Macaca mulatta: one gene and its partners. The protein of the gene in region 6 interacts with the protein of the main gene of each other region in a biochemical or structural test. Links are inferred from orthologs where the notes say so. Each region holds a gene or a part of one and is shown on either strand. Other genes may lie near its edges.

What was found.
Region 1: the proteins of FYN (region 6) and KHDRBS1 form a complex in vitro, tested with the Homo sapiens proteins (4 studies listed by BioGRID and IntAct, with this or other methods). The link is inferred for Macaca mulatta from reciprocal best matches to the Homo sapiens genes FYN and KHDRBS1.
Region 2: the proteins of FYN (region 6) and FYB1 form a complex in vitro, tested with the Homo sapiens proteins (2 studies listed by BioGRID and IntAct). The link is inferred for Macaca mulatta from reciprocal best matches to the Homo sapiens genes FYN and FYB1.
Region 3: the proteins of FYN (region 6) and HRAS form a complex in vitro, tested with the Homo sapiens proteins (2 studies listed by BioGRID and IntAct). The link is inferred for Macaca mulatta from reciprocal best matches to the Homo sapiens genes FYN and HRAS.
Region 4: of the proteins of FYN (region 6) and SNCA, one has a biochemical effect on the other in vitro, tested with the Homo sapiens proteins (3 studies listed by BioGRID). The link is inferred for Macaca mulatta from reciprocal best matches to the Homo sapiens genes FYN and SNCA.
Region 5: the proteins of FYN (region 6) and FASLG form a complex in vitro, tested with the Homo sapiens proteins (4 studies listed by BioGRID and IntAct, with this or other methods). The link is inferred for Macaca mulatta from reciprocal best matches to the Homo sapiens genes FYN and FASLG.

What each region holds. Positions count from the first base shown.
Region 1 is NC_133406.1:208,851,414-208,854,913, forward strand, and holds part of KHDRBS1 (KH domain-containing, RNA-binding, signal transduction-associated protein 1), read right to left. Parts: intron 1,634-3,500; coding exon 1,509-1,633; intron 407-1,508; coding exon 290-406; intron 1-289. UniProt on the Homo sapiens protein: Recruited and tyrosine phosphorylated by several receptor systems, for example the T-cell, leptin and insulin receptors. Once phosphorylated, functions as an adapter protein in signal transduction cascades by binding to SH2 and SH3 domain-containing proteins.
Region 2 is NC_133411.1:40,218,986-40,222,485, forward strand, and holds part of FYB1 (FYN-binding protein 1), read right to left. Parts: intron 3,471-3,500; coding exon 3,350-3,470; intron 732-3,349; coding exon 572-731; intron 67-571; coding exon 1-66. UniProt on the Homo sapiens protein: Acts as an adapter protein of the FYN and LCP2 signaling cascades in T-cells. May play a role in linking T-cell signaling to remodeling of the actin cytoskeleton. Modulates the expression of IL2. Involved in platelet activation.
Region 3 is NC_133419.1:424,686-428,746, forward strand, and holds the start of HRAS (GTPase HRas), read right to left. Parts: upstream 2,801-4,061; 5' UTR 2,785-2,800; intron 2,760-2,784; exon of another isoform or gene 2,624-2,759; intron 1,753-2,623; 5' UTR 1,703-1,752; coding exon 1,592-1,702; intron 1,309-1,591; coding exon 1,130-1,308; intron 979-1,129; coding exon 819-978; intron 724-818; exon of another isoform or gene 642-723; intron 121-641; coding exon 1-120. UniProt on the Homo sapiens protein: Involved in the activation of Ras protein signal transduction. Ras proteins bind GDP/GTP and possess intrinsic GTPase activity.
Region 4 is NC_133410.1:99,154,553-99,158,808, forward strand, and holds the start of SNCA (alpha-synuclein), read right to left. Parts: upstream 2,801-4,256; 5' UTR 2,612-2,800; intron 1,968-2,611; exon of another isoform or gene 1,902-1,967; intron 1,669-1,901; exon of another isoform or gene 1,465-1,668; intron 1,293-1,464; exon of another isoform or gene 1,248-1,292; intron 765-1,247; exon of another isoform or gene 631-764; intron 197-630; 5' UTR 172-196; coding exon 51-171; intron 1-50. UniProt on the Homo sapiens protein: Neuronal protein that plays several roles in synaptic activity such as regulation of synaptic vesicle trafficking and subsequent neurotransmitter release.
Region 5 is NC_133406.1:30,156,216-30,160,234, reverse strand, and holds the start of FASLG (tumor necrosis factor ligand superfamily member 6), read right to left. Parts: upstream 2,801-4,019; 5' UTR 2,759-2,800; coding exon 2,414-2,758; intron 1,863-2,413; coding exon 1,817-1,862; intron 1-1,816. UniProt on the Homo sapiens protein: Cytokine that binds to TNFRSF6/FAS, a receptor that transduces the apoptotic signal into cells. Involved in cytotoxic T-cell-mediated apoptosis, natural killer cell-mediated apoptosis and in T-cell development.
Region 6 is NC_133409.1:16,778,736-16,782,235, forward strand, and holds part of FYN (tyrosine-protein kinase Fyn), read right to left. Parts: intron 1,759-3,500; coding exon 1,655-1,758; intron 687-1,654; coding exon 537-686; intron 1-536. UniProt on the Homo sapiens protein: Non-receptor tyrosine-protein kinase that plays a role in many biological processes including regulation of cell growth and survival, cell adhesion, integrin-mediated signaling, cytoskeletal remodeling, cell motility, immune response and axon guidance.

The DNA of each region.
Region 1 (3,500 bases), on a different chromosome or scaffold from region 6:
TTTCAAGTTTTCCCAGACAATCCTACCAATGCACAAGATGCTACTGCTCTGTCCATTACTATGCAGTCAAAAGTCCAAAAGAAAACTATCACCAGGGCACACCTAGGCTCTTCCAGGGTTGCCAAGCAAGTAAATTAACTTGGTGTATAATCTCTTGCACCCAATGCACACTTAAAGGAGCCACATTCTGTACATACACAATATTCTTGCCTCTATAAGGCATCTATACTGCATTCTGGGCAAGTAGAAGGCATTAGGATGTCCTCTTGCCTCACTAATGTGAGCTTACCTTGGCTTTGTCTCTCATTGAGCCCTTTCCCAACACAGAGATCTTTGCACCAGTCTCTTCCTGCAGTCTTTTGATTGTATTCCCTTGTGGTCCAAGAATCTTCCCCACAAAATTGAACTGACAGAAAATAAAGGATTTCTAAATATACATGCTACTATATAAAAACATCTCCACATAAATTACCTCATTTGATTTTAAACAACCCTGCAAAGGTAGAGTATTACCATTCCCGTTTTACTGAAGGACGCTGAAGCCATATTAATAAAGTGATTAGTTTAAGATTATGAAACTAGAAAGTGGCAGTTCCTAGACCTGAATTTGGCTTTTCTGATGTATTCTGGCCATCTTCCATAATACACTAAGACCTTTACTATTTTATTTTTTACTTTATTTTGAGACAGGCTCTCACTTTGTTGCCCAGGCCAAAGTGTAGTGACATGATCATGGCTCACCGCAGCCTCGACTTCCTGGGCTCAAGTGATCCTCCCGCCTCAGCCTCTGGAGTAGCCGGGACTATAGGTGCACATCACCATATCAGGCTAATTTTTGTATTTTTTGTAGAGATACGGTTTTGCTATGTTGCTTAGGCTGGTCTTGAATTCCTGGGCTCAAGTAATCTGCCTGCATTGGCCTCCCAAAGTGCTGGCATTACAGGCATGAGCCACTGTGCCTGTTTATGCATGCCTTAACATACATAAACATTGTTAACGCAGTGACCTCAGAGCAGAAGAGACTATATAGCACCCTTTGATAGCACGCTGGATAAACTAAATGTAACTAATTGCTTTCCTAAAAAAAGAAAAAAAAAAAAAGGAAGAAAAAAAGCATTTACTTAAAAGTAAACTTTTAGTAAGAAAATAAAATTAACTTCATCCAATTGAGGATTTGTATTATATTTCCTTTTATTTAGATTTCAGGTTAGTCTTTTGACAGAGAGCAACTCTTCAGGTTTTATTTTTTTTTTTTCTTTGAACTTGTAGCCTGAGCAGTCATTAGAGAAAGAAACTTTTTGATAATAAAAAGATTATTACATTTCCTTCCTGGCTATAACTATGTTTAGTTAAGAACTTAGATATTTCAATTGCCAGAAACAGGTACTGCAAGCATGAAAGAGAAGCTTCACAGGCTTAAGTTTCTAAAGCATCACAATCCCCAGGAGTCCATGACTCTCTCGTAACTATAAAGATAACTCAAAGATGCAAGGCACTTTTTGCCTTACCTTGGGATACTGCTTGACAGGTATCAGCACTCGCTCTTTCAGTTTCATGTTCTTATGAGAAAATAAATCCAAGTAATTCTCTTCATCGTCCTTTTTTGAGTCTCCTTTCTGAATCTTCTCAATTTCTGAACAGGAAAAACAATTTAAATTTTTGCTCTGGTAAATAAAAGCAAATTTTGAAGTCTGCTTAAAGCAATAACATGAAGTACCATATAGTGAGACCAAATAGTACACATGAATGTGCCAATTTCAGAAATAAACTAGCTGAAAGTACTAAAGTTATATGAAGTTGATTAGAAAGCCCAAAGCCTGCTTCTAATAAAAGTAGTGTGCTCTTCTAACCTCACCTGAAGCCTCACGTGAGAATAGAGACATTTAAATGTTTCTTAAATCGATTTAACAAAATTAATTGGGTGAGATGGGGAAAGGAGAATAAAGAAACAAACAAAAAATTAAAATCTGCATCAAGACAAAATATAATCTTACCTTGAAAAAAGCAAAAATCAATAATCTAAATATACAATGGATAGTTCCATTAAAGTTCCACAGTGACATTAGTACTCTAGATACTAGTCCTTAAGAGTCTGAAAGACCTTGTTCTTACTCTGCTACTCACTAGTTGTGTGACGTAAGAGAAGTTAATAAAATATGTAGATATGCCTAATTAAAGGCAATTTTTCATAAAGTACTTAATATATTGTCACCATTATCTAGCCCAAATTCAGCCAATGTCTAAACGATACAAAATGCACCAGGTACTTTTTTGAGACGGAGTTTCACTCCTGTTGCCCAGGCTGGAGTGCAATGGTGCAATCTTGGCTCACCGTAACCTCTGCCTCCTGGGTTCAAGCGATTCTCCTGCCTCAGCCTTCCAAGTAGCAGGGATTACAGGCATGTGCCACCATGCCCAGCTAATTTTGTATTTTTAGTAGAGACGGGGTTTCTCCATGTTGGTCAGGCTGGTCTTGAACTCCCGACCTCAGGTGATCCACCTGCCTCAGCCTCCCAAAGTGCTGGGATTACAGGCATGAGCCACCGCGCCCGGCCCAGCCACAAGGTACTTTCTAAAAAAACATTTTATTGAAGTATAACTGATATGTAAAAACCCATACATAATTAATGTATACAATTCATGATGAGTTTGGAGATAAGTATACACCCATGAAACTATCACCACCATTATGGCCACAGACATATCCATCATCACCCAAAAGTACTTTCAATTCACAGGTTAAGACAGTTTCATTAGATAGAAACTTGGCATACAAAAAGATTTCCTACTGGCCGGGCGCGGTGGCTCAAGCCTGTAATCCCAGCACTTTGGGAGGCTGAGACGGGCGGATCACAAGGTCAGGAGATGGAGACCATCCTGACTAACACGGTGAAACCCCGTCTCTACTAAAAAATACAAAAAACTAGCCGGGCGAGGTGGCGGGCGCCTGTAGTCCCAGCTACTCGGGAGGCTGAGGCAGGAGAATGGCGGGAACCCGGGAGGCGGAGCTTGCAGTGAGCTGAGATCCGGCCACAGCACTCCAGCCTGGGTGACAGAGCAAGACTCCGTCTCAAACAAACAAAAAACAAAACAAAAACAAAAAAAAAAGATTTCCTACCATTAAGGAACTTCATTCATTGAGTGACTGCAAGTGTTTGAGTGCTTCCTACGGTATGGAGAGGCAGATGAAGGGAGAGCTATAATAGGTACAATCATTAATCACTATGGAGGACTTACTAAGAGCCAGGCATCTGTCTTGCAAAGCACAGGAGATACAACAGAGCGAGTCAGACTGGTCTCTGTCTTCACTGTTTATATACTGGAGTTCCCAGACTATAGGGGTGGCAATGAAGTATAGTTAAGTGCTATAACAGGAGTTCTAACAGAGATGAGGGAAAAGTGCCCAAGGAATGAGCAGCAACTGAAAGCTTATATGATTCACTGAGAATAGTTAAAATACATATACTCCCTAAAATCAGTGGAACATTCTAAATATCAGA
Region 2 (3,500 bases), on a different chromosome or scaffold from region 6:
GAGAGTCTTTTTTCAGTTTCAAAGAATCATAGTCGATCTCTACAGCAGTTGTTTTAATATAGCCATCTACCAAAAAGGGAAAGGCTTATGTTCAGGCAACTGTAGTTTAAATATTTTAAAGTTGTGAATAAAATATCAATCGCACATTTGCTCTTTAAACTTTCCCCTGATTTATTTTCTTATAGTTCTGATTTGTAGACCTCCCAGGTAGACCCACATTTTACTGTACTCTGTCAAAGTCTAATCCTGTTGTAGTTTAATGTAAGCCTACCTTCTATTTTAAATATTCTAAAGTGATTCACATGAAGCATTTTTTCTTTTTAACATCAATGAAAAACCTAATGCTGTTTGTTCCTCCTGGAATAATATAAAACTTTACATTGTTTCCCACAGTGAAGATAACAGATGAGGTGAAGACGGAACTATACCTGCCATTTAACATTTTCCTCCCTTTGTCCACTCTGTAAAGTACTCCTAACTTGGTGCCTATGAGGAGTTCTGGAGGAACATGCACATTGAATATTGCCTCACAAAGAAAACACTTTGAAGCCATAGAAAAATTTGCACTCACATGAACCCCTGGCTGTTCTGCCCAGCCATTTTCCTTCTGGGTTGTCTGTGATACGGATGATTTCAATTTGCTCTCCTTGCTTGAAGCTCAGTTCATTCTTTCCTCCTTTGACATCACAACAAGCTTTTGCAAGATGGATGACTTGAATAGGGCCTGTTAGCTGCAAAGAGAAAACAATAATCAGAAAAGATTTCCTTATAATTTAGAAAATCTTCAAGGAATGCAATTTTGAAAGATACTAAATCTACAACTTGTGAACCTACCTATAACCAACATTTACAGGGTTTAACTAGAAATTGGGGGCTGGGCGCAGTGGCTCAAGCCTGTAATCCCAGCACTTTGGGAGGCCGAGACGGGCGGATCACAAGGTCAGGAGATCGAGACCATCCTGGCTAACGCGGTGAAACCCCGTCTCTACTAAAAAATACAAAAAACTAGCCGGGCGAGGTGGCGGGTGCCTGTAGTCCCAGCTACTCGGGAGGCTGAGGCAGGAGAATGGCATAAACCCGGGAGGCAGAGCTTGCAGTGAGCTGAGATCCGGCTACTGCACTCCAGTCTGGGCGACAGAGCAAGACTCCGTCTCAAAAAAAAAAAAAAAAGAAAAAAAAAGAAAAGAAATTGAGGGTGAATGCTTTTCTTACAGGAGGGGTTAGGAAAAAATTACAGGGGCCAAGCAGGACCCGTTAAGGACAGGTGAATATGTGCATGGGGTCAGGAGAGTGAGGCAGGGATCTGTTGGCCTAGGAATTCTGCAAGAGGCCTGTAAAGGCAGCCCCCAATAACTGAATAGCACTTATGTACAACAATCCATGCTGTGTGCTACGTGTCTTTATGGAATATGCCAGGATTCCATTTGGAAGATGGAGTTTTTTCCCCTTTCATTGTTTGTAAAATTGAAGCAGACATTACCTGCTGTAAACAAGACAAAATTTCAGAAATGAGCTTGCAAATCAAAAAATAGCAAGCAAATGTTACATGAGGTCTTTAAAATTAATATTCTGAATAGTATGGTGGCTTATTGATAGAAGGGTAATGATCTTGGTTAGACCATGAATCCCATATTCTTAATTTTCTAATCCTAAATTGGTGTCTTTTCAACAGAATTTCTTGAATCTTTTGATATGCAAATATGCAAATATGCATTACGACTTTTGAAGAAGCTCTACCTTTAATTTATTGAATTTATGATGACATTAATTATAAACATATATCATTATCATGTACCACTAAGAAATAAAGAAAAGAATGTAAGTTAAATTATGATATGCCATGATGCTGATGAGGCTCAGTTCTCATATTTATTTAATTTTTTTTTTTTACCTATTATGTGTTATCATCTTGTGAAAGGAATATAGGTGGTGAAGTCCTAGTCTTGACAGACTTTTAAGTTCATATTTAATGGTATGATTTCCATACCCTATCTTTTCTCACTAAAAATATTATTTGAATGAATGAGTGAAATAATGTAAAGCTGATTTCTCCAAAAGAAACATATGGAAAAACTTCACATAATTCCTTTAAATCTACAAACAAGCTCTCCATGGAAAGTATGCTATATAGATTTTTCATAAATTAACTGAAATTATTTTTTCCCTTGAAAATATAAACATTGGTAGTCATGCATTCTGTGTAAGTAAAATGTTCTAATATTAATACTGTAATCATAATTTTACTCATATATAGCGAGCTTTTTCAAAATCAAATGAGAATCTTATGATACAGTGCCTGCTATGCATTATTTTAGTTCCGTAACACACTTTCTGGAGTAGTATCATTTATTCTCCCTTAAAAGATTAAGCATCAGTGGCTCAGAAAAGTTAAGTGATAAGCCCAAGATTACATAACTTGTATGTACCACTGGAATTTGAATCAGTTCGTCTAACTGACTTAATGCTATATGTTTTCCTTGCACCATGCTTTGAACCTTTGCTTTAATACAATAAATATTCTGGGAAGTTATATATAAATCATTTTTTAAAAATTTGAGCCACATATTAAATGCTCCAGAGAAATAAATATTTAAAGAAAGCATACTGTGAATTCTTTTTGAAAGAATAATTTTGTAATTCAGATAATCACCCTAAATATGTCTGACATGCCAGACCCATGCCACATGAGCCAGGTCATCAAAGATAGTGTAGCCAGGAGAAAATAGCCCATGAGTGTAGCGTTTACTGGTGGTAGTAATGGTAGAAGACACACAATTACCAGAGATCAGAGAATACAGGGGTCAGAATCCACATAGACAAAGAGGGATGAGAAACAGCAGGTATCAGAAGTCAGCATGTACACAGACTTAAAATAAAGGCAATAATGTAACTCATGTTTAGATACTAGCAATTAGAGTAGCTCATGGAAATCTTATTCTGAGACAGGTCTGGTTCACCCTGGAGACACCTGTGTCCAATACCCCACTATAATACATACCATAGGGATATTTATGTGTGTGATGCTAATTCATAGTAGAAGCAGGCTAATATGAAATGCATTATGGGGAGAGCCAAGATGGGTTTGAAAAAGTAAATATTCATTCACTCAATCCACATAAATTTCCTGGGTGCCCACTAATTATGAACCACCATATTTTTAAAAATTTTATTATATTAGTTAAGGGATAAGATGGTGTATTGGACAAAAAAGTACTTTTATGAAGATAATTACTCTTTAGAAAACAATGAGTAATTCTTCAACTATGTAAGGTTTCAAGAATGGTACCCCTTTTGTGTGAAAGGTATAAAAAGATGTTATTCTTTCACCCATTAGCAAGCAAGCCCTTACTTTAAATTTCTTCTTTATTTCTTGTTCTTTCTTTTCTTTCTCTTTCTGTTCCTTTTTCTCCAGCTCTAACCTCTTCTTTTCCTCCTTTTCTCTTTTCTTCTCTCTTTCTTTGGATGCTTCTCTGTGAATAAAAATTGTTAGGTTGTTTTCG
Region 3 (4,061 bases), on a different chromosome or scaffold from region 6:
TCAGGAGAGCACACACTTGCAGCTCATGCAGCCGGGGCCACTCTCATCAGGAGGGTTCAGCTTCCGCAGCTTATGCTGCCGAATCTCACGCACCAATGTGTAAAAGGCATCCTCTACTCCCTGGAAAAGGAGGAATGGGATCAGGAGGGACAGGCCTGTGGCCCCCTGCCTAGGTGAGGGGTTCCCTGCTGTGCGATCAAGCCGTGCCTGGCCCAAGGCTCCCGACTCCACCAGCCACTTCCCCAGGCCCACCACACACACAGGAAGCTGGGCTCTGGTCATCTCGAAGAGCCCAGGGCCACCTGCACCACGCTACAGCAGCCCCTCAAAGGTCAGGGTGGCCCAGGACCCTCCTGAACTCCAGATCTGGCCAGGGTTTGACCACCCTGCACCCAGCTCTCATCTGAGCTATGGCCAGTGTCCCCAGCAGCCTCACTAAGACTCAGAACCAACAGGTGCCCGTGGGACACTCTGGGGACAAGAGGGGCTGGGCCCCAGGGTCACCGCTCCGGCCTGGCTCAGGGCAGCTCTCCCCAAGGACCTCCGCCTTCCCCGGAGCTGTGTCGGCCCAGGACTGCAGGGCGTGAGCCCAGACCCCGGCCCTTGCCTCCCTCACTGCCCTGCCGTCCCGGGAGACTTACAGCGCGAGGGGCCGCTGGGTCACATGGGTCCCGGGGGGTCCCAGAGGGTCCCGGAGCTGGAGCCAGAGCCAGAGCGGCTGCCCTGTGTCAAGGGAGAGGGGTGAGTGAGTGCTGCTCCCTGGCTGGGGCGGGGCGGGGCGAGTCCCTGGCTACCTGTGGGCTGGAGAGCTGCCTCACCTGTCGCGTCTTGGCCGAGGTCTCAATGTAGGGGATACCATAGCTTCGGGCGAGGTCCTGAGCCTGCCGAGACTCCACGGTGCGTGCAGCCAGGTCACACTTGTTCCCCACCAGCACCATGGGCACGTCGTCTGAGTCCTTCACCCGCTTGATCTGCTCCCTGGGAGGAAAAGTGAGAGCTGGCTATAGGGGCTGCAGGCACGACTGCATCCAGGACATGCACAGAGAGGACAGGAGGCCCCTGTCTGGGCACAGCCGGCCTGACCCCACTTGTGCCTCGTGGGCTCCCGGGCCAGCCTCAAGGGGTTCACCTGTACTGGTGGATGTCCTCAAAGGACTTGGTGTTGTTGATGGCAAACACACACAGGAAGCCTTCCCCCGTGCGCATGTACTGGTCCCGCATGGCGCTGTACTCCTCTTGGCCGGCGGTGTCCAGGATGTCCAACAGGCACGTCTCCCCATCAATGACCACCTGTTTCCGGTAGGAGTCCTGCAGGAGGACAGAGCTCAGGGACCCCTCAGGACCCTCCATGCGGGGAGTTCACAATGCCAGCCTCTCCCTGTACCTCTCATGCCCCTCTCATGCCCCCTCATGCCCCTCTCATGCCCCCTCTCCTGGGGTGCTGAGACGAGGGGCTCCCCTTCTCTGGAGAAAGCAGGAGACAGGCCCAGAGCACCATGCAGGGCCAGGGGCCGCAGCCACCCCTATCCTGGCTGTGTCCTGGGCTCGCCCACAGCAGCTGCCGGGACCTGGACGGCGGCGCCAGGCTCACCTCTATCGTGGGGTCGTATTCGTCCACGAAGTGGTTCTGGATCAGCTGGATGGTCAGCGCACTCTTGCCCACACCGCCGGCGCCCACCACCACGAGCTTATATTCCGTCATTGCTCCTCAGGGGCCTGCGGCCCGGGGTCCTACAGGGTCTCCTGCCCCACCTGCCAAGGATGGTCCTGCTCAGCCAGGCCCAGGCCCCACAGGGCAGCTGCTGGCAGAGCCATCTGAAGAGCAAACCCATAGCGGGCCCTGGGTCCCAACGCCAGGCAGCAAGGACTGCAGCGTGCCTACCTGTGCAGCTGCAAACCAGCGCGGGGGAGGACTGTCGCCTCGCCCCCACTTGCTGTTAAGGACCCAGTGAGGGGAAAAGGGAGCCAGCCTCCAAAGGCAGGGCTGACAGCTGAGCGCTCTCAACCAAATTAGAAGCTGCTGGGTCGGCAGAAAGACTAAAGGGAGGCGCCCGAGGGCTGAGGTTACCGTCCTCCTAAACAGGTCTGGCCACGGCGGAGCGCGCCACGGCGTGCCCGGGCAGGCCAGTGCCAGCCTGCAGGCCCCGTGGCGCTGGTGCCTCCGACAAGTATTTGCTGAGCGCCTACTGCGTGCTAGGCGCCGCTGAGGGGAGGGCAGACCCGGGCAGCGCCCCGCGCCCCCGGCGGGGAACCGGGGGCATCTTTCAGCCACAGAAAGCTGGAAAAGACAGAGGGGCTCCTGGGAAGCAGGGGCTGAGCCACAGGAAGGGGCCGAGAGGCGGCGCGGGAGACCCGGAGAGGGGAAGGGCCCCGGGGCTGAGGCCCCCGGCCTCGTCCGCGACCTGTGATGCTGAATCGGGGGTGCCCGGGCGTGCCGTGGCCGCGGCCGCCTCCGCCCAGACGCGCCTGGTTATGAGGGCGCCGGGCCCGAGGCTCCCGGGGACGCCGGCGTGAGGACCGTGCCCAGAGCGAGGCCACGGGCGGGGCCCGGATTCCCGCAGGCCCCAGGGACTAAGGGGCCTCAGCCCGCCCCCGCCAGCCGCAGCCCCCGACGCCCGCTCACCTGTGCCTGGGGGCCCCGCCCGGCCCGGCCCCACCCACCCACTACCGCCGCCGCAGCCGCTCACGCCCGCCGGTCCCGCGCCCCCGGCCCGCGCCGCGCGTATGGCTGCCGCCTGGGGGCGGGGAGGGCGCGCGGCCCGGCCGACCCCGGCCCGCACTCACCGCTCAGTGGCGCGACTGCCCCCGGGGCCGGGGCCGAGGCCAGGGCGGGGCGGGGGCGGGGGCGCGCGGTTCTCCCCGCGCATGGGCTCCGTCCGCGGCGGGTGCGGCTGGGGCTGCAGGCGCAGGGAGCGGGCGGCGGAGACTCGACCGGGCTCGCGCACGCCCCACCCCGCGCCCGTCCGTCAGCCCGGCGCGACCTACCATTGGCCGCGCTACACCAGGCCCCGCCCCGCCCCGGTTGGCTGAGCGGCCCGTCTGTCAGGAGCCGCGGTCGGGCAGGGCTTCCGGGAGCAACGCGGGAGGCGGAGCCAGAAGGGCCGCGGCCTCGGGGGGTTGGGCTAGGCCGGCGAGCGGAGGCAAGCTCCGGGTTGCTCAAGGAGGGCGAGGGAGCAGGTGTCTGGGGGCCTGCGGCGGCATATCCGAGCAGGGCCGTGGACTCTCCCGGGAACAGGCCGGCGAGAGAACCCGACTCAGCGGCGCCCGTGCACTCGAGGCCCTCCCTGCGTCCGCAGCGCGGCGTCGCCCACCGCGGAGGTCCCGGGGCTCCGGCTGAGGAAAGGCTGGGATCCGTCGGGACCAAGGCGGGCCGCTCGGAGCTGAGGGCCCCCGGGTGGCCGCGGGGTCCGGTTGCCCGGCTCCCCTTCCGCGCAGGTGGAGTGGCCCCGCACCCGGACGGTGCGCACCCCGCCTCCTCCGCGCACCCCACCTACCACACGCACCCCAGCTCCCCTACTCCCACCTCAGCCCACCCCGAGGACGCCTTGCAGCTCCGGTGGGGTTTCGAGCGGCAGGCGCAGCCGTGCTCCCTGGGGCCAGGCGTGAGAACGCCCCCTCCACCACTTCTCTTACTTGGGCCTGCGTGGCAGGCGACCCTGCCCGCTCAGTCCCCCCAGACTTGAGGTTCCAACCATGCAGAAGCTCAGCGTGGTGCAGTTAAACGGTACCTACAGGTTGCCACAGGAGAGCGAAGTGCCCAGGGCTCACCCCAAGCACAAAGACCACATCCTAGCTCTTTCAAACCCCAAAAGACGTGTTTTTTTTTTTTTTTAACATTTTTTTAAATTGCAAAGGAATCAGAAATACATTCTCATTAAAAAGCAAAAGGGCCATCCTGGCTGACACGGTGAAACCCCGTCTCTACTAAAAAATACAAAAAACTAGCCGGGCGAGGTGGCGGGCGCCTGTAGTCCCAGCTACTTGGGAGGCTGAGGCAGGAGAATGGCGTGAACCCGGGAGGCGGAGCTTGCAGTGAGCTGAGATCCGGCCACTGCACTCCA
Region 4 (4,256 bases), on a different chromosome or scaffold from region 6:
AACCCATCAGTCATGAACCAACACCAAAGTGACATTTGGGGTTTACCTACCTACATAGAGAACACCCTCTTTTGTCTTTCCTGCTGCTTCTGCCACACCCTGTTTGGTTTTCTCAGCAGCAGCCACAACTCCCTCCTTGGCCTTTGAAAGTCCTTTCATGAATACATCCATGGCTAATGAATTCCTTTACACCACACTGGAGAACATAAAATACACTTTGAATGAGAACTTTTGGGGGAAAATAAACAAAAAACACTGAAAAATCATGAGAAACCCTCCAAAGTGTGAGACTCTTTTAAGTGTACACTCATTTAACCATTGGACAAAGCAGACATTTTTAGCTCTGGCATTAAAAATTTAGCATCTCCCATCCATCTTGGCTAGTAAAAGTCTAGCCACCTAACCATGGATTAGGATGAATCCTCTGAGTTGTTAATACTGCATTTCAGAAGTGGAGTTGCATGAAAAGAGTCACTCCTGTTTTAACTTCCCGGGGTCTAAAGGGTAACAGTGTGAGTTAGAAGCATGGAAGCTGGAGGCTTAGGGTCTGGGGCATCCTTAACATGAATCCCAGAAGAAGGCTAACAGGTTGATGGTGGAGAGGCGTAGGCAAGAGAACTAACTACTCACTCTGGGTGTGGTTCAACCTCAGGCAAACAGCGAGCCCAAGGGTGCTGGTTCTAATACATCCGAGCATCCACCCCCGCCCTCAGATATCTACCCTGAGCAGGCGGCGCTCACACTCGCGGGCCGTCTCTAACCCTGCGCCAGCCACCCGAGGGGGCGTTCTCAGCATCCACCCTAGCGGACCCCGCGCCAGCACTTGTTAACCCTTTACCACCTGTTGACTTGGCCTCCCTGCACTTCCATTTCATTATTTGCCAAAGGCAGCTTGCTTACTTTACAGAGAAAAACCAAGAGAGCGGGCAGACGGATTTCAGGTAAGAGAGAAATAAAAGTTGGATGCTTACGCTCCAGGGAGCATCCTCGCGTTTCCCGGGGAAAAGCGGATCCCGGAGACGCATCCTAATCTCTCAGCCCTTGGGGAGAAGCCCTTGACAGGACGAAAGCCAGGTCAAGTCTCTTTCCTTAGGCTCCCCAAAGGGACAAGTACTCACCTCCCAGAGACCTGGCACAGCAGGTCCTCACCGCAGCACCACCCCCTCCTGGTGCCCACGACCATTCCTCTCCCACCCGGCTTTCTCCAGGATTTCCAAAGACGCCCGTTTAGATCCACAGGTACTTACCTGTGTCCCTCTGCTTCTCCACAACTCCGATTCCTCCCTACCTCTCTTTAAAAAAAAAAAAAATTAAACAATTCCCAAATAATATTTAATAGGGAAGAAGGAGGAAAAGGAGCGCACAGGAAGGGCGGAGGCGGCACCGGGAGGGGGACGGTCCCCAGAGGAGGCCGCTGTGAGCCGACGACGGGAGGCTGGGGGCGTGGGAGGCAAACCCGCTAACCTGTCGTCGAATGGCCACTCCCAGTTCTCCGCTCACGAGGATGGAGAAAAAGGCAGAAGGTTTGAAGGGAAGGCGTGAGGGAGCGCTCAGGACGCTCTCGGAGGGGCCGGGCCGGGGTCTGCGCTGCAGCCCGCACGCACCTCACTCCCGCGTCGCGGCGCTCGGTCGCTCGCCCCCTCTCTCGGGCCCCTTCTGGTCGTCGCCGTCCTCCTCCTCCTCGTCCTCCTCCTTCTCCTTCTCCTCGGCTCTCCGCCCCCACCGCTGATTTGTCAGCGCCTCTCCACGCTCCCCTCCCAGCGCTCGCTGCTTTCCCTGCAGCGTGCTCTTCGTTCCCTATCTCGGATGGGGATGGGGCAGGGGGCGCAGGGTGAACCACCAATTCCAGCCGCCTGCCTGGCCGCGCAAGGCGGGAAAGTGGGGGCGCTTTTGCGCCTCACCTCAAGTTCAGGGTCACGGGCACTCTTGTGGCGATTGGGAGCGGTTGGGCTTGGGCTGACGACTCTCCCTCTTTCCCATTCCCCTCCCTTCCTGTCCCCGCCTTTCCTCCGGGTCCTCCCTGGGACCACCCCCTACCCCTCGTCAGAGTCGACCTGGGAGAGCTGAGGGCCTGAGGGTCGACCACCCAGAGCAGAGCCTATCCTTTGGGGAGACAGGCAGCGCAGGGAGGTGGCTCACACCGCACCGCCGAGAGCACTTTGCCCTCGCATCGCTGACATTTAATCACGGTCACAGGCTACGTTAAGGGTCGCTTTAGTTCAAATATCCTCAAGATTTTCGTTTGCTCTTAATCCAGGTCGAGCTCGAAAGGGTCCCGCGGGTGAATCGGAGACTACTAAGGAAGAGTTACAGGTTGAGGAGGCAGGAGGAGGCTCAGCAAATCCTCTTCCCACCCCACTATCACCATTTTCCTTTCCACCAATCAGCGCCTGCCAGACGCTGATTTTCCCATCAGCGGAACGAGGAATAAATATTCCCCAGCCGTCTAAAACAAGCGGTCCTAAGGCTTTTCGCTCTAGAAATGGGACTTACTTTGCAGACCTAAGTGCATGGTCTGGTAGACAAATCCAGCGTGATTTACCCTACCAGACCATCATATCCAATTTCTTTTTCAGCCCCTTCTGAAAGGGAGATGCTACACGCCACTCACCTTTCTGACTTCTAATTCTCGTTGCCCTCAGAATTGACATCCCCTTTTCTCTCCCCCGACCCACCACATGCACAGACACACAGACGTACACACGCGAACCTCAAGACAATTTTTGCATCGCTTAACACATTTTCACCTCTTTCAGAACTGGAAGACAGCTATTCCTGGATCACACCAGAATGGAGAAGCAAGCTCCTCCCACTAGCAGAAAGCCTTTGCTTTCTGTGCCTGGATTCCGAAGATTAGTTAAGCACTGGTGGGGGCCGGCGGGGGGGGCGGGGACAACAGCTCGTTTTTGCTGTGTTTTTTAAAAATTGTTTTTATGTTTGTAGCTAATGCTTTGTCTGATTCTTGCACTCATTTGGATTCTGAAATTTGAGTAAAATCAAATGTAAACATACAAAACAACTTTAAAACCACAAGGAATAGTAAACAAATGATTATACATGAAAGACATATAGAAGATAATGCCTATGTGTTCAGTGGAAAATAGAAAAACATGAAAGTAAGATTACAAATTTTTATTACTTAAACTCTTCCTTGAACTATTGGTCTGCCCTTTGGAAAAACAGACTTTCCATAACGCAGTAGCTCATATTAATAGTTTGTGTTTGCTTAGGACCAGAGCAAGAAGGTTGGACTTGGGAGCTAGTTTGTTGTCTGGCTTGGAGACCTTGAACAAGTTATGTTCTCCTTCTGTTTCCAGTTTTATTTTTTGTAAATGAGGAGATGAACTCAGGTGATCGCCCTATATTCAACTTTTTGTTATGGGAAATATTCAAACATACGCAAAAGTAGAAAGAATAAAGGACTCCCATGTGAATATCACCCAACTTTTACATTTTTTCTATGCATGGCATATCATGTCTCATTCATAAGTCCACTCACTTTATCACTACCAATCCTCCCTATTTTTTTTCACAAAATTCAAGCTTTATATACATCTTTTCAACTGTAAACATTCAGTATGCATCCACAAAATTTAAGAACTGTTTAAAAATAACCACAATGTCATTAGACGATTCTTTTAAATTTCAGTGTAATTTACACCTAGTGAAATGCTCAGATGTTGTGTCCCTTTAAATCAGTTTTGAAAAAACCATGCATTGGTGTAACCCACACTATTTTGAAGACACAGGACATTTTCATCACTCCAGACAGTTACCTTGCACCCTTCATGTGCATATTCTAGAATGTCATAAAAGTCTAATCACGTAGTATAAACTTTTTTATATCTGTCTGACTTCTTTTACTCAGCATAGTATTTGTGAGGTGATTCATGTCATTGCATGAATCGGTGGTTTGTTTTTTATTGCTTTTTGTTGTTTCTTTTTATTATTGTTAATAGTGTAAGTTTTCCATTGTGTCTTATTACAACTAGTACTTCAATAGGCTATTACAACAATTATTTAATATATTATTTCATATGACATATTTATAGTATAACAGTGACCTCTTTGAGACCTGGTGCTTTGAGTCAAATAGGTAAATAAAATGCGATATTTTAGGTCTCATTACCAGACCAATGTGAGATAATTATTTTTGGACAGTTGCATTTCTTATAACATTTGACATGATTCTACACTTTTATATGGTAATTTGTTAGTACTTTCGCAAAGGACTAATGTACTATGTTATTTAGTCA
Region 5 (4,019 bases), on a different chromosome or scaffold from region 6:
GCACATCTCTGATTATTTTCTTAAGAGAAATTCTTAGTGATAGGATTACAACATAAACTATTAGTTTCAAGCTTTTGATATGTATTTCTAAAGTGCTCTTCAGAAAAAGTTATAGCAATTTACATGTATACTGGCTGAAACTAATGTTTAAACAGCACTTTTCTTTCAAATCTTTGTCAGTCTGGGTTTTTGTTAACTTTACTAATTTGATGAAAATTGGTGTTCCCTATTTTTAGTTTGCATCTCTTTTCTTATTAGTAAAGTTACTGATTTGATTTCCTTGTGATAATTTAACAATTTCTGGTTCATCTGGGTTGATCTAGAGAAGATAATTGCTTACTGGGGTAGATGGACATGACTCGTCTGGTCATTTGATTTTTAATCACTAAATTGACTCCAGAGAGGAGGTAAAAGATGAATGCTTAGGTACCTATCAGACCAGGCACATTCCACAGGTTTTCAAAATGATCTTATTTGAGACATCCTCCAGAGGCTTTATTTTTCTAGCAAATATTTCCACTCTGCTTGTGTACATATGGACTTTCTAACATTTAAGGATTAGGACACAGACTCAGGGGCCAGAGCTTCCCAACAGTGGCTCCTATAAGAACTTAACAGTCTAGGACAGTAGACAGGCGACTGGGTTGCCTGCAGTAGCCACATCCAGAGAAACTGAAACTTACTTCACTTAATAGATGGCCAGTGCTGCCTTCTTCTTTATTCTGAGTTTCTAAGGATGCGATCTATCTATAGTCTTTGCAGAGGTATCCTGCTTTTCCTCTATTTCTCACTCCATGCTCACTACAGAGAGACAGGAGTTTCCCTACTTCATGAGGCACCAGTCCAGTACCGGAAAGCCCTGTAGGTGACAAGGCATCAAGAGCCTGTGTTCCTTCTAGCCCCAGTTCCATACTAGGGGTCTTGGGCATATTCACCTAATCCGTCTGGCATTTTGTTTCTCTTCCAAAAAAATGAAATGGCTGGACTGGATATTCTAAGCTTCCTTCCAACTCTAAACCTTCAGTGAATCTCATTGTAAATCTAAATCTAAAATTTCAATGAATCTTAGGCTAGTGAAGCACATTGTAAAATCCATCTGTACAGAGCTTGCAAAACTATGCCCTGAAATTTCACGAGATCAGTGTTCCAACATATCGTCTTCTTGCCCTAGCTCCCATACAAAGGATTTTCCTTTGTGATCAAGGGTACCTCATGACTGCCTCTGAAGCTGAACATCCTTTGAATGATGGCTGAAGTCTTCCCTTCAGCTTCTCAGTGACTTCAAGAAAAACCATTCTAATGTACGGAATTGATTAGCCACATTTTAAAAGCTTACGTCCTATAAAACATTTTGTAAATAAAGTTTCACTGTAATCTCTTTAGAGGCTTTAAAAGAGGAGAGGACGTTTCTCAGAAACATCTGTCTCTGCCTTCACTTCGCCTTCTCTTCCCAGAAGTCATAGCCACTGGCATGTGTGCCAGGACCAGGGTGTCTGTGGAAGGGGACAGGCCTGGAACCACTGCTCAGGGGGCAAAAGTCCACGGTTGTATATGTGTGTCTCTTTCCAAAGTCAAGCGGAAGTGATTTTGAATTGTGTGCCGTGCTCAGCTATATTGATTGTGAGCAATTCAATTCACTTCACATTTATAAAGCAGCTCAAGGAATCATACTGACCAGAGATTCCGAATTAGCCAGGATTCCTCTCATAGTATACATAAGCCAAAGTGTAGGACAGAATATAAGGCATTCCATTAACATATTTCAGTGCTGAGGATCATCTTTAGGAACTCAATGTACATGTGAAAAAGGACTCACCTATTTGCTTCTCCAAAGATGATGCTGTATGCTTCTGGCTGGTAGACTAGTAAAAGAGAAAGAAAAAAGATGCATAATAAAAATAAAATTATTTAAGCAAAAGAGACAGAATCGTCAAATAAACCAAGCCCTGGAAAGAGAATCCAAATACCTCAGAACTTTTGCTGACTCAGGCTTTGGTCAAGCAATTTTGCTTCACTGTCCCTCAGTTTTGTGATTTGAAATCGTACCAGTATTTTAAGTATTTTCAAGATTTAGTTTGGTCATCTGAACAAATTTACTTCCAAGCAAAACTTAAAAGTTTTGTTTGTTTTTTACTCCTTAAATCACTAGGTATGAGGCAGTAAGTGGTTCAACAGACTGAGTTGACAACTGAGGAAAGAAAAACTGTTGGGCTCTGATTCTTTACAAAATAAAAAATATTCCCTTCACTCCTATGAGCCTCCATTTCTCTGCCTATAGAATAGAATAACTAGAACAACCCATTTCTAAGAAAAAAAAAAAAGGATTGAAAAGCACTTTGCAAGCCAGGCAGTGGGCCCTCCACCCCCTTATGCCTGGTGCCTCCAGGGCACAGCAGTCTGCCAGCAGGCTTACCTCTCGGAGTTCTGCCAGCTCTTTCTGTAAGTGGAAGAGCTGAAACATCCCCAGTCCCAATCCTACCAAGGCAACCAGAACCATGAAAAACATCACAAGGAGACAAAGGCCTGTGCTGTGGTTTCCCCTCTTCTTCAAGGGTGGCAGCGGTAGTGGAGGCAGTGGTGGTGGCGGTGGAGGTGGTAGTGGCGGCGGCGGCGGCGGTGGTGGTGGCCTCCTTTGACCAGGCCTTCTGGGCACAGAGGTTGGACAGGGAAGAACTGTGCCTGGAGGGGCCCAGGGAGAGCTGGCACTGCTGTCCACCCAGTAGATCTGGGGATATGGGTAATTGAAGGGCTGCTGCATGGCAGCCGGTGAGTCAGGCCAGCCCCAGCAAACGGTTTTACTTCTCAATCCTGTAGAGGCTGAGGTGTCAAGGACAGGACTCCTGTTGCTGACTGCTCAAGAGGAGGCAAGCTGGATCTCTCTTATAGAGTTTCCATAGCTAAGGGAAACACCTCTGTCTTTCTCTTTCTCTATGTCTCTCTCTGATTCTGCTTCTCAAAGAAACACCCACTCACTTTGCAGCTGAAGCTGAGAAGCCTCAAGAAGCTCAGAGCAAACCCCTGGAAGTTTCCGCCCACAATCTTCTGACGAAAGCCTTGGAAGCCTCAGTTGCTATCGCTGTACTACCCAAACAGGTTGGTAGGCTATGCTCACCTTCCTGGGATCCTGTAGAGCAGGTCAGCATTGGGGTAGAGCCCTGTTGGCGTGAACTGCTCCCAGCTACAGGAGAATGGCCAGTGGGGCTATAATTTTATGAATTATAATTGTATCCTTTTTTATACATTACAATTGTATAATGTTAAGAATTCTACCATGTATACGACCAAAAAACTATTTAAAAATACCAAAATAACTCTAACAAAAATTGTTCAGAACCATATTTTTTAAACTATAAAAATTTTACTGAAATTGGCTCTGAGGGGAGAGACCATGGAGCCATGGCCAGAGAAGTCACTCCCACATTTTCGTTTTTGCAGGAGGAAAACACCTGTTGCCATCATCGCTTCCCCACACACAACTACCATTTACCCTGACCTGCCAATCACCATAATTTACAGGTTAAAAAACCTGCTACACCCTCTTTAGAAATTAGATCAGAGGCTGCAAACAGTGGAACCCACAGAACTGCTTTGTATTTCACAATGTTTTCATTTTCATTGTTTGCCCAGCTTATTTATTTACGTATTTATTTAAATAGAGACAGAGTCTCACTCTGTCACCCAAGCTGGAGTGGAGTGGTGCTATCGTAGTTAACTGCAGCCTCAAACTCCTGGGCTCAAGCAATCCTCTTGCCTCGGCCTCCTAAGTAGCTGGGATTATAGGCATGAGTCACTACACCTGACTTATTTATTTATTTATTTATTTATTTTTGTAGAGATGGGGACTCGCTATGTTGCCCAGGCTTGTCTCAAACTCCTAGCTTCAAGACATCCTCCCACCTCAGTTTCCCAAAGTGCTGGAATTACAGTCATGAGCCACTGCACTCAGCCCAATTGACCACTTTTAATATCAATATTAAAAATATTTTAATATATATACATTTTAAATACACATTAAAATA
Region 6 (3,500 bases):
AGAGCTGTGGGTCGTGTAAGTCTAAGTCTAGTTAGGAAACAGCAGTATTGGTGGGGAACATGATAAATGGCTTGCATGAGAATGAAATGTACGTGCAGCTATTCCTGCAACAGTGCTGAGTGTAAAGTGATGGTGGAAAGCCAGTATTCCTTGTAGGAGTCCCCATGTAAGTGCCCTCCGAGAGACTCCTTCCTCATATGCAATGCAGGGGGAATGGGAAAAGACAACTTGAAGTATTTTAGGATGAAGATAAAAAGACAAACAACTTTTACAATTTAACCTATTGCTTTCTACTTGGGAAACAAAAATATTATAGGATCTTTGGACAAACATGTGGAACTAATAATAACAACTACAGTAGAACAACAGCAATAGAACCTATTCAGCCAAGTCCCACCATTAAGGGCTGGCAAAGAAAACATATTCTAGGAGTGATTTTGTACATAATTAGTTTTACCCTTTCCACTTTCCTGCTCTGGGCCTATCCACTCCCTCCAGCATCCACACGGTTAGTAGGCAGTTAGAATTCAGGTTACCTGAGTAATGTTGTACAAGCTGCTGAAGGGTTTCAAACTGGGCCCGGGTGGTAATGTAGTATCCACCGTTGTCAAGTTTGCGAATTTTATAATGTTTGACGTGGTCTCCTTTCATATCATCCCAATCGCGGATGGAAAGTGAATAGGCACCTGGTAAACAAGCAAAGCATTAGCAGCACTAGTCATTTAGACTATTAGCTTGCTTTTTAGGCCTCATTTTCTTGACTCTGATTAATAATTACCAAGGATACACACACACATGTACACACACACACAGCATCTCCACTCAGGAACAGGAAGAAGATGCTTCTTGATGTCCTGCAAATGTCAGAAGATATTAGCAGTAAAATAATTCTGCACTTGAGACTGAAAGCTTCCTGGATATTTTTCTTAAACACACTGCTCAGTCACCCTTGTTGTATAATACAGCGTAGACTCAATTCCGACACTCCTTCCCTCCAGGGTAGAGAGAAGAACCACGATGCACGGCTGAGTTTGCTTCCCCTGTCTTCTCTACCCAGGGGCATACTGGGAGGTAGCGGCAGCATGTGCAAAAGAAATCTAAGGCTTTTTTCTCTAGAAGTGAGCTCCAAGCTTCTGTTTTACAACACTTTCCACAGGAACAGATAATCTGGTGGATTAAGCTAGAGGCCCCTACTCTTTTCTTCCTTGACCTATCTCCTCTTGTGGGCTGTAATGAGTGGTTAAATAATGAAAAGTCCAACAGTTGGAGGAAGAGAAGTGAAGTCCTCAGTTATTTAAAAAACAAAAGGAAAGCAAAAACAACCCATATGACTGGCACCCGAGGAACTAAGAGTTTCAGAAAATCGAAATTCTAAAGGACTTCTGAAAATTCTATGATCTTGTGTGCCCGGAGCAGTAAAGCCGCCCCCAGCCTGTTTCAGGAGGAAGGTCTTGATTTGGAGCCTCTGTAGTTCTTTTGGTGCTGTCTGCAGTTCTAGAGCCTGGAGGCAAGACTGAAAACAGGACTCCACTCATAAGGCAGGGAGGATATGTGCCATTTTAAAAACCTTGTACATTACAGATAAGCCTTTCATCCCCTCTGACTAATCCACAGATTTGAATGACAAGCCAACTTCTTCAACTCGTTATCTTACCTTTGGTGGTTTCACTCTCGCGGATAAGAAAGGTACCTCTTGGGTTTCCAAAGGACAATAGCTGTCGCTCAGCATCTTTTCGGCCAAGTTTTCCAAAGTACCACCTTTAAATGAGATCAAGGAAAGAAAATACTTCGTAATAGTCATTTACAAAATGCAACAGCGTAGGCTTTTTTTTTTGCCCATGAATTCCCCTCACCTCCGATTTAGTCCTTAGCCTTTCCCTGTACGTATTTTTTCTAGCTTAATTCAGTTCCTTTCCAATCTATCCTGGATTCTATCCCTAATTCATCTCTTTCACTCTTTTAAAAAAATCAGATTTGAATTGTGGGTTGTTTTCCTCCCCTCCAGACGTGACCAGAACTGGTTTGTGTTAAAACCGCCATCTGTATGCAAAAAAACCCAGAAATCGAAGACCTTGATTTGAAATGGCAACTGCATGAGACCCTCTCCACACTTATTTAAAAGACTCTAGTCTGGGCATGGTGGCTCACGCCTGTAATCCCAGCGCTTTGGGAGGCCGAGGCGGGCAGATCACCTGAGGTCAGGAGTTTGAGACCAGCCTGGCCAACATGGTGAAACCTCATCTCTACTAAAAATACAAAAATTAGCTAGGTGTGGTGGTGGGCACCTGTAATTCCAGGTACTCGGGAAGCTGAGGCAGAAGAATTGCTTGAACCTGGGAGACCCAGGTTGCAGTGAGCTGAGATCGTGCCATTGTACTCCAGCCGGGTGACAGAACAAGGCTGTGTCTCCAAAAAAAAAAAAAAAAAAAAAAAAAAGGCCAAGCATGGTGGCTCACACCTGTAATCCCAGCAGTTTGAGAGGCCAAGGCGGGTGGATCATGAGGTCAGGAGATGGAGACAACAATCCTGGCTAACACTGTGAAACCCCGTCTCCACTAAAAATGCAAAAAATTAGCTGGGCGTGGTGGTATGAGCCTGTAACCCCAGCTACTTGGGAGACTGAGGCAGGAGGATCGCTTGAACCTGGCAGGTGGAGGTTGCAGTGAGCCAAGATCGTGCCACTGCACTCCAGCCTGGGTGACAGAGTGAGGCTCTGTCTCAAAAACAAACAAAAAAACAAAACTCTTGAATCTCTTGATATCTGAGCATTATTAACTGCTGGGAAATAACAAAACACAGCCTCAATGTATATGAAGATAATTAACAAGCATTAAAAAAAGTCAGAATAGATAGATATGATATGAATAAAGGAATAGTATTTTCAGTAACTTCCTACCTATAAGAATTCTGAGAAAAATGCCCGTGAGTACTTATTTGTATTTTGCTTTCCCCCAGGTGTGAGGACTTGGATAAGTAAAGGCATTTGCCAGCACCTGGATTGTGATCTGTGTACATCATTATCTTCTTCTTCCTCTTTTTCTGTTTTTTTCTTGAGACAGGGTCTCACTCTGTCACCCAGGCTGGAGTGCAGTGGCATAACCACAGCTCACTGCAGCCTTGACCTCCCCAGGCTCAAGCAATCTTCCAACCTCAGCCTCCTGGGACAACAGGTGCACATCATCACACCAGCTAATTAAAAATTTTTTTTTGTAGAGGCTGGGAGTGGTGGCTCATGCTTGTAATTCCAGCACTTTGGGAGGCTGAGGCAGGCAGATCACCTGAGGTCAGGAGTTCGAAACCAGCCTGGCCAACATGGTGAAACCCCAACTCTAATGAAAATATAAACAATTAGCTGGGCATGGTGGCATGTGCCTGTAATCTCAGCTATTTGGGAGGCTGGGGCATGAGAATTGCTTGAACCAGGGATGTGGAGGTGGCAGTGAGCAGAGACAGGGCCACTGCACTCTAGCCGGGGGACAGAGTCAGACTGTCTCCCTATG